Linked DNA regions of Tribolium castaneum. The protein of the gene in region 1 purifies or fractionates together with the protein of each later gene. This does not show direct contact. Links are inferred from orthologs where the notes say so. Each region holds a gene or a part of one and is shown on either strand. Other genes may lie near its edges. The genes, in order: l(2)gl and aPKC.

What was found.
Region 2: the proteins of l(2)gl (region 1) and aPKC purify together in Drosophila melanogaster (affinity purification with western blotting; 6 studies listed by BioGRID, with this or other methods). This does not show direct contact. The link is inferred for Tribolium castaneum from reciprocal best matches to the Drosophila melanogaster genes l(2)gl and aPKC.

The regions. Positions count from the first base shown.
Region 1 is NC_087399.1:11,111,387-11,115,212, reverse strand, and holds part of l(2)gl (lethal(2) giant larvae protein homolog 1), read left to right. Parts: intron 1-502; exon of another isoform or gene 503-1,043; intron 1,044-1,098; exon of another isoform or gene 1,099-1,497; intron 1,498-3,455; coding exon 3,456-3,693; intron 3,694-3,806; coding exon 3,807-3,826. UniProt on the Drosophila melanogaster protein: Essential for the development of polarized epithelia, for cell polarity associated with asymmetric cell division of neuroblasts during development, and for oocyte polarity formation.
Region 2 is NC_087399.1:9,781,061-9,785,611, forward strand, and holds the start of aPKC (atypical protein kinase C), read left to right. Parts: upstream 1-1,659; 5' UTR 1,660-1,859; intron 1,860-1,918; 5' UTR 1,919-1,957; coding exon 1,958-2,450; intron 2,451-4,551. UniProt on the Drosophila melanogaster protein: Serine/threonine protein kinase which is required for apico-basal cell polarity in the germ line as well as in epithelial and neural precursor cells, for epithelial planar cell polarity and for cell proliferation.

The DNA.
Region 1 (3,826 bases):
TATGTTTTTAACACTTTAAATAAAATATTACGAAAAATGGCGTTTTTAGTTGATAACAGAGTTGGGGACTTTCTTTGATGGTTGTTTGTAACACTGCTAACCGATTAGGTTTTGTTTGACAAATATGTATTTGACGTAACACAGTGTATAGTTGGTTGTACTTCTGTCAACAACTAGTAGTAAAAATAGAATTCAAAATTGCCAACTCAAACAGACATTTTTGATGACTTGTAAGAGCGGACTTTTTAATTTTTAATTAAAATAATCGCTCTAAACTAAACTGTTCATAATTTAACAATTGTGTTATCTGGTGGTCGATTTTTAATTATAATAAGTGTAAAAATATACCAAATCTTTGAGTCAAAACAAAACCTTGGTTTTGAATGAAATTCTTCTTAAAAAAAAAGGTGGTGTTTCTGCAGAAGAAGCATTTTGAAGACTGCTTTAATTCTCTAATTTTATATTTCCATAGGAAAAAGATGAGGAAGAATAAAAAAAGAAATACTTTCTCAGGGAGTTTTAATTTAGGCACTCAGAGAGCAAATTTGTTTTTTAATTAAGAAGACGTAGGCAATGTTTTTGTTCACAGTTGCTGGCTAAAAAAAGTCATATCAGAGACGAATTTACCAAATCGTTTTATTTTGGCAAAAACTGAAGATTTTTGAGGAAGAACCATTATTTTTTCTTCCTAGTTTATTATAAATGTGCCAAATAGCTTAGAAATGACTGCGAAAATAATGTATTTTGAGCCACTTGCAGGCCATTATATTAAAAATAAATTCACCAGAATGAATCGATAACCCAAGTTTAAAACTCCCAGATTCCATAACCGGACTTTTGTCATTTCCCTGAATAGAAGTATGTAACTAAATGTATTTGAAAAAGTGTGTTGGTAGAAACCCTCGTTTAATTACCTGCAAACCGATCGTTGTTTTCTTTTTTCTATTTTAAATTAAATTTCAATTTTTAATTAAGAAATACCTACTCACATTTCATTTCAAAACAACAGTTTTATCTTTTTGTAAATATTGTTCTTAAATTACCTGAAAACAATTATTATAAATCACAAACTGTTTCGCAATACATTAATTTTCATACAATGCGGTACTTTAGATAAGAGTATAACAATAAATATAAACTACATAAGTTTTCCTTCTATTAATATATTGACTATTCAGAGAAATTTTATTATTACTACTAATAGTGCTAACCTCTTTAACACTTGTAATACACAATTGAAATTAAAAATGTTGTCTTTTACAAGTAAGTCTCTGTTTTCCCCATTTTTCGAATGCAGCGTAAAATTTTCAACCTCGAAAACTATGATTTGTTTTTATGGTTGTGCTAAAACAAACTTTTTAGTTAAGTAATTTTTACCTGTTGAAAACAATTTTAGCTTGGATTTTTCGTTCAAAACACGAAGCACTTCTTGACGCCTTTGTTTGCCGACTGCTCTAATTAGATTGACTCAAAACATGTGACACTAATTGTGTTAAAACCTTGTTCTACTCAGATAAGATAACAGTTATTTATGGAGTCAAGAGGAAAATTAGACATTCTTTTGAATCAAATACTATATTTTTTCTATTTTACTCTAATGTCTGTTAGTAAACTGATTTATTTTACGAACTTTTCTCAAAATAAACCTTAGAAAACTCCAAAATTATATGAAATTTATAAAATTGTGTTATTTTAGCCTTTTCCGAGGAATGTAATTTAGCGAACTTAAATCAAACTATTTGTTTTATTTTGGTCTGTTTTGAATAATTTAGCACGTTTTTGACTTAAAATAATTTGTAAAAAGTTATTTTGGTGTCTTTCAAGAAATTAGTATATTTATTTACAAAGAAACTAATTTATTTCTTGAAATTTTGACAAAATAAGTTTACAAACAACATTAAATCAACAACATTTCGTTCTGTTTAATTTGTTTTTCATCTAAGAAACACATTTATTTCACACAAAATCTTGTCAAAAGTCGTAAAATTGAAAATTGAATTGTTTTAACTTGTTTTAAGAGATTATGCTTATTTTTTTTAAACTTATTTATTTTATCAAATAAGTATAAAAATTACCAGTTTAAATCAAAAGTAAAACATTGACTCGTTTGCTCTTTGTTAACCCAAAAACTCATTTATTTCAACTAAATTCTCTCAAATAAAAAGTCTAAAACTGAAAATTAATAAATTCGAACGGTGTTCGATCAAAAAATTTATTTATTTTGGAAAAAACATTAAACTAGCGTAATGTGCGTTGAGTCAAACTGTTTGGTAAATTAAAAATAGATTTATGTTTAAATTGAACGTTTTAGAAACATTTTTGTTTGTGAGTTTTCACTAATTTTTAAATTTTTCACCAGTTTAACACGTTGTTGAAACAAATTTTTCGACAAAGAAATAATGAAAAATTCGCCGGTTTGGGGATAGAAGTTTTTGCGTTTTTCGCCTGTTTATGCATGTACTCGGTTATTTCTCAAAAATTCTTAAAAAAATTACCAAATTTAATCGAAAACAGTGTGACCCTGCCTCTTTCGAGATCTAAATACATACTTTCGAATTACACATTTAGTTTTTCTGGAGATTTTATCACAAACTACTAACCTACAAGTGTAGTTTACAAAAAATGCTGTCTCGAAGAGAAATAAACGACTTGGGAAAGTGAGTCTTATTTTGACTAATTATGATCTACAAAAAATAATATTTGAATATTTGAAAATTACAGTACATTTTATCGTTTCTTACTGTTTAAAACGTTTTACAGCAGAACTGCGTTAACAACAATCTAAAAAACTACAAAATTTTGACAAGCTCGCTGAAAATTATATTATTAGCCTTATATTTTGTTGAAATACATTTAGAAAACCCAAAAATATATCTGAATTGATGTTATTATTTTGCTCATTTTTTAGCATTTTTTACAAGGTTTATATTTCCGTCTGGTTTTAATTAATTCTTCGATACCTTGAATGTTTTTGGGGCCTAAACATTAACCCATTTCAACCTAGGATTTTTTAAAAGGACGGTTTACACCTGTTTTATCATTTGTGTTTAAATAGCATGTTGCTACTCTTAGGTAGGTGGAGAGACCTAATTATACATTACAAGTGTCAATGTTGAATTCTAAAGTATCAAAACTGGAGCTATCTCAAAAATTAAAAGTGGATTTTTTTATCAATTTTTTGTAGCCCTCTGATCACTAAACCATCAGTTAATGCTGTTTGCACAGAATTTCAACAAAAAATATCTTCCGGGCTATGTGGGTTAAAGAATTTTCTACAACTTTCTTTCTTGTATCTTTAACCGTACTTGCAACGTTAACATTGTGGAAAATATGAAATTTGTCGATTTTCTCGTCTCATTAAGAGAATTTAAACCAATCAATTTTTTAGTCCAGACGGTCAATAAAATGTAGGGGACTGAAAAAGTGGCTAGAAAAAATTTGTTTTTTAATTCCAGGCGGAAGAAGTGCGAGAAAATGGCGAAGAAACTCCCCACAACGTGACAGTTTCTAGCAGCGTCGGCGATATAACAATCGACAGCGTTAAGGATTACCTCGGCTCAGGTGAGGAGCTTAACAGACGCATTTCCGGTATGTGTGTGACGAAGACTGTCACGACAGTCATAAACAGTAGTCAAGACGGTGCCGTAACGTCTTCCAGTACGACCACAACCACAACAAGTGCCCAAGACAACAGTGAGTGTTTGCTTTTGTTTATTTTGTCTTAAGCTTTTTTTCTTGCTCAAAAATATTGTAAAGAGCTTTGTTTATTATTTGCTTTAAATGTGTTCTTTTTGTTGCTTTTGTAGTCATAGAGAGTGACACGGAC
Region 2 (4,551 bases), about 1.3 Mb from region 1:
AGAGGAATTTCTAATTTTATTGCTCGAAAATCATTTGAGACGTGTCTGAGAGAAATTGCGAGAGTTGACGAGTCGTCTACAATTGCGTAAGTGTTGCGACACAAAATCAGAATGAAGGACTAGAAAACGTGGTTGAAAAACATACATTTACAACAGAAAACACATTTTAAAAAGATTCGACAGAATTCCATCAAAGAAATTGCAAAGAATTTCTGTCGGAATGTAAACAATGTACCATTGAAAACAAGCGTTCGTTGTAAACGAAGTTCGTATGTTTGCATTAACCAAATTTATTTGTTACTAAAATACAATATATTCAAATATGGTTGTTCATTAAGTCACCTATGAAATTTGAACGTAATGTGATGAATTGTGTTTGCCGTTAAAGTGATAGATCCGTCAAAATAATGCAAAAGGGCTTCGAATCAAAAAATGAAAGAATACACAACAACAAAAATCACGGAAATATAAAACACAAATCAAAATAAACCCTACATTTGAAACAACTTTGCCGAAAAATGCAAAAAAATACGTAAAAAGCTAATTCAAAGATTTGACAGAGAAACTACAAAAGTCATTTAGACAAAGCGGCACATTGAAATTAAATTCCATAGTCAACTTGATGAACAATCATTTTTTAACACATTGTATATGGCTTTAAAACGGGATTTTCAATGTTGTTCGTTATATCCGCGCTTTCATTATAAACCGGGTTCGTTGTAACCGAGTTTCACTGTATTTTAAAAACTAAGCAAAATCGATCAATAACAATTTAGCTTGAAAAACATTATTGTTAAAAGCTACATCAAAAAATGCAAAAATATAGGGTGTTTCATTAAAAAAAACTAACTTCAAACTGTCAGAATTCTACCCATGGTAATATCAAATGAGTACATGCTGGGAAAAATGGTAACATTCTTTTCATAACTGTTTTTGCGGTATTTTTTTAAAGTTATGTTGGAGATAAAACGTACGCCACTGATAGTACAGTTAATTAGTGTTAGTACAGTTAGTGGAAAGCATGATAATCGTTTGAAGACAATGGTATTGATCAGAGCTCAGTTTTTTCCAATACAACTAACTTAAACTCATGAGCGCCATAAGTGACACTGATTAAGGGGTTTCTACCCCTACGAAATAAAAACGTGAATATGGTACAGATCGTCTCTACGTATCCTTGGAAAGCTGTGATAAAATTTGGCGGTCTATTAATGAATCACCCTGTATTTGAAAATAATTTTAGGTGCGTCTGGGGGTTAGTATCCACGGCTTTTATAAAAAAATCTAACATTTAAGAGTCAATGATGAAAATTTTCAATTCGCTGTATGTGGTCAAATGCATAGAAAACACCACAAATTTTTTGCTTCTATTTTCTAAGCATACCTAATATTTTTACATAGATCTTAAAATAACCCTTCTGTGAAGGAATTCAAAGAAAAAAATGAGAGAACAGTAACGTTCGCACAAGTCGATTAATAATTGAGACAAGTCCCAAACCTATAATTCCTTTATCATGATTTTTATCACGCCTAAGCCACCTATGTGCGGCATCTCCAACTGCCCAAAACGCTCCGGCCCTTCGTCGGTATCGATTCAAAGGCGCCACCGTAGTTGTCCCCGGCCTGACGTCTGCGTGATTGCCAAATCGGCGCCGTCTCGCCATCCCTTCATCTATCGCGGCGTCGCGACGTCCAACGCACCGGCAACGCTGCCACACACGTCCCCCGTCGTTAGTTTTCAGTACCTGTCCGCTTATTCGCAAACCCCTCTTCCGTAAATTAATTTCGAACAAAAAATCAACGAACGATTCACTCAGGTGGCGTCGCGACGCTTTCCCCCTTATTTAACCCCGTAGTAGGTGAGTGTTTTTTAGGCGGGTCGTAGTTGATTTAATAATTAATTGCGTCGTCATTTGAGCCCCCTTGTGATATGCGTCTTTAAACCGTCGCTGGCGTCATGGCTTGGGGTTATTGGAGCGCTACGACAGTGTCGGACCGCGGCCGCAGCCCCCGAAGGAACCAGAATGGCACCGTCAACAACCACCAGCAAAGCTTGCCCGTCAGTATCGAAGATCGCCCCTCGGTGTCTCAAACGTACGCTGGGGCCCCCGTCAATTCCAACAATAACACGACGACGTCGTCGTCCAGCGGCCAATTGCAAGGCGAGTTCGAGGAAGTGGCGGCGTTTTCGAGGCGGCCCTCGTTGGATTTGTCGCTGGTTGGGCCGCAAGGTGCCCTGGCGGGGATCTTGTGTGCTGCTCATAGTAGTAAACAGGGAGGGACGTTGTCTGCGGGTAACACTTTGACGAGGGTCGGGAGTAAACATACGGCGGTGGAGTATGCAGTTCCACATCATCTCTACCACCACCACCCGACTTACATAGAATACCATCATAAGCAGTTGTCCTTTTCGGACGATGATAGCAGCTCGGAGCCCGGATATGCCACAGGTTTGTCGGTGTGGCATGAAAAAATTCATTTGCTTTTGTTGCACCCCCGATCCGGGTCAAACACGCGTCCGGCAACGAATTTCGCTTAAAAGGGTGCGATTTCAGTAGTGCTCTAATGTTACATTTATTAGCCGATCGTAAATATCCAACGAATAAAATCGCTGAAATTGATTTTGCGAAACGAAACGTGTGCACAATAGTCTATAAATTTCTTATCATAATTATTATAAACCAAACGTTCAGAGTTAATCGTTTTTTATTTTACGTGTTTTGTAATGTCGTTGCTCTTGCTTGACTTTCTATTATTGCAACATTTTAATGGAATAAATGAGCTTTTTAAATGCATATTGTCTCCAAGCTTTCAATATAATATCACGCTTTGTTATTCTTTGGCGTGTCTTCACATCAGGCTATTGTTGGCTGGTAATGAAAAAAAATCACTTCTAAACATTACAATTGCATTTTAATAAAATAAATATTTGTTGTAATGGAAAATGTGTTGTTTATCTAAGTCATTTAGTTGTTTCGGTATCCAATGTTAAATGGGCTAATGCTACAAAAGTATTATCATCTGATTTTCTTTTGTAGCTTAATTATTATTTATTTACGTATCTAGTCGTTTTTTTATTTAAATTTTTTGTAAATCCTTTGACGGAATTGAACCAAAGTCATTAATCATTATTCATTATGCATGGATTACGATTCTGTAATTAGAACTTTCTTACCAAGTAACTAACCTCTGTTTAAAAATCAGCGTTTAAAAAAAGGTTTCTTTGTCAAAGGTGCCTACTGCTTAACTTTTTAATAATTCAAATCGTAAATGTATTTTTAGAGGTTCAAACTTAAGACACATAGTAGTTTATTATACAGGGTGCTCAAAAACCGGCGCACCAACTCTGGTATATGGTAGAAAAAAGCGTACGTAAAAAAGGAAAAATAGTTAAAAATATGTGTATTAAAGTTACCGAATAACGAATTTTAAATAAATGACAACAAGGCTTAAAATTGCTTTAAATCTATTAAAAAATAATCTGACGTTTCTTTTTGAGAACTACCAAACAGTTGTCAAAACTTACACAGGAGGAAAAACCAGACATTTTGACAGTGTCGAGGAATAAAAATAATTATTCATCATGTGTTCTGGATAGATTATTTAATGCAAAACATAAAAACATTAAAAAAATAATGAAAACTGAAGAAGTTAACAAAATAGGTTTGTCGATCCAATTTTACTTTTTTAATTTAAGATTTGTTCTATTTTCCATTTGTTGGTACCCCAGTTTTTGAGCGTCCTGTACAAGTAAAGAAAAGTTGCCCATTATTTGTGAATGATTTCACAGATAGTGCCATTTTTTCTTTACGTGTAGGAGAATAATGCAACGTTTTCTCTTATAGGTACATTGATAAATTTTTTTAATTAATTTTCCACCAATAAGAATAAAAAAATCACCAAATGTTTATTATATTATATCGTAATTAAAACTTAGTCATAGTCCCTCAAATATTTTTTTTCGGATTTTAAAAATCAAACATTGAACCTTCTGTTTCTTTTATGAGAAATCATAGATTACAATTTTTATTTGGTTTGTTTATAGAAAAGATGCGTATTATATTATGACTTAATAGTTCCTAACATGAGACACGGTTTTTTTTAGAAGTTAACGTTTTTTCAAAAAAAGGCGCCACTGACCTATATTACCAATAATGCATTGTGAAATCCTATGTCAACAGAGAGGTGGTAGTACTGGAAATTTAAGTAGAAATTTTGGTTTTTTTAGCATTTTCGGATTAAGAAACAAATTTTTGGTAAATTCAGATTTAAATTATTGATTATGATGTAGAATGGAATTTAGTGTTTGATATATCTGTCAAAAAAAACTTATCTGATAATTAATCGTGAATGGATTGTACTATAATAGAAGTACAAAGTGTCTATAAATGAATGTGGGATCGTAATAGGTATTAAAAGTTTGCCGTTTTTTTCAAGAAAAAACAAACAATGTTTGTATATGATAAAATTAGTTTTACTGGTTGGAAAAAATTTTCAGAGTACAAGATTTTTTTTCAATTTTCAGAATTTTTTTCTGAATTAAATAAAACA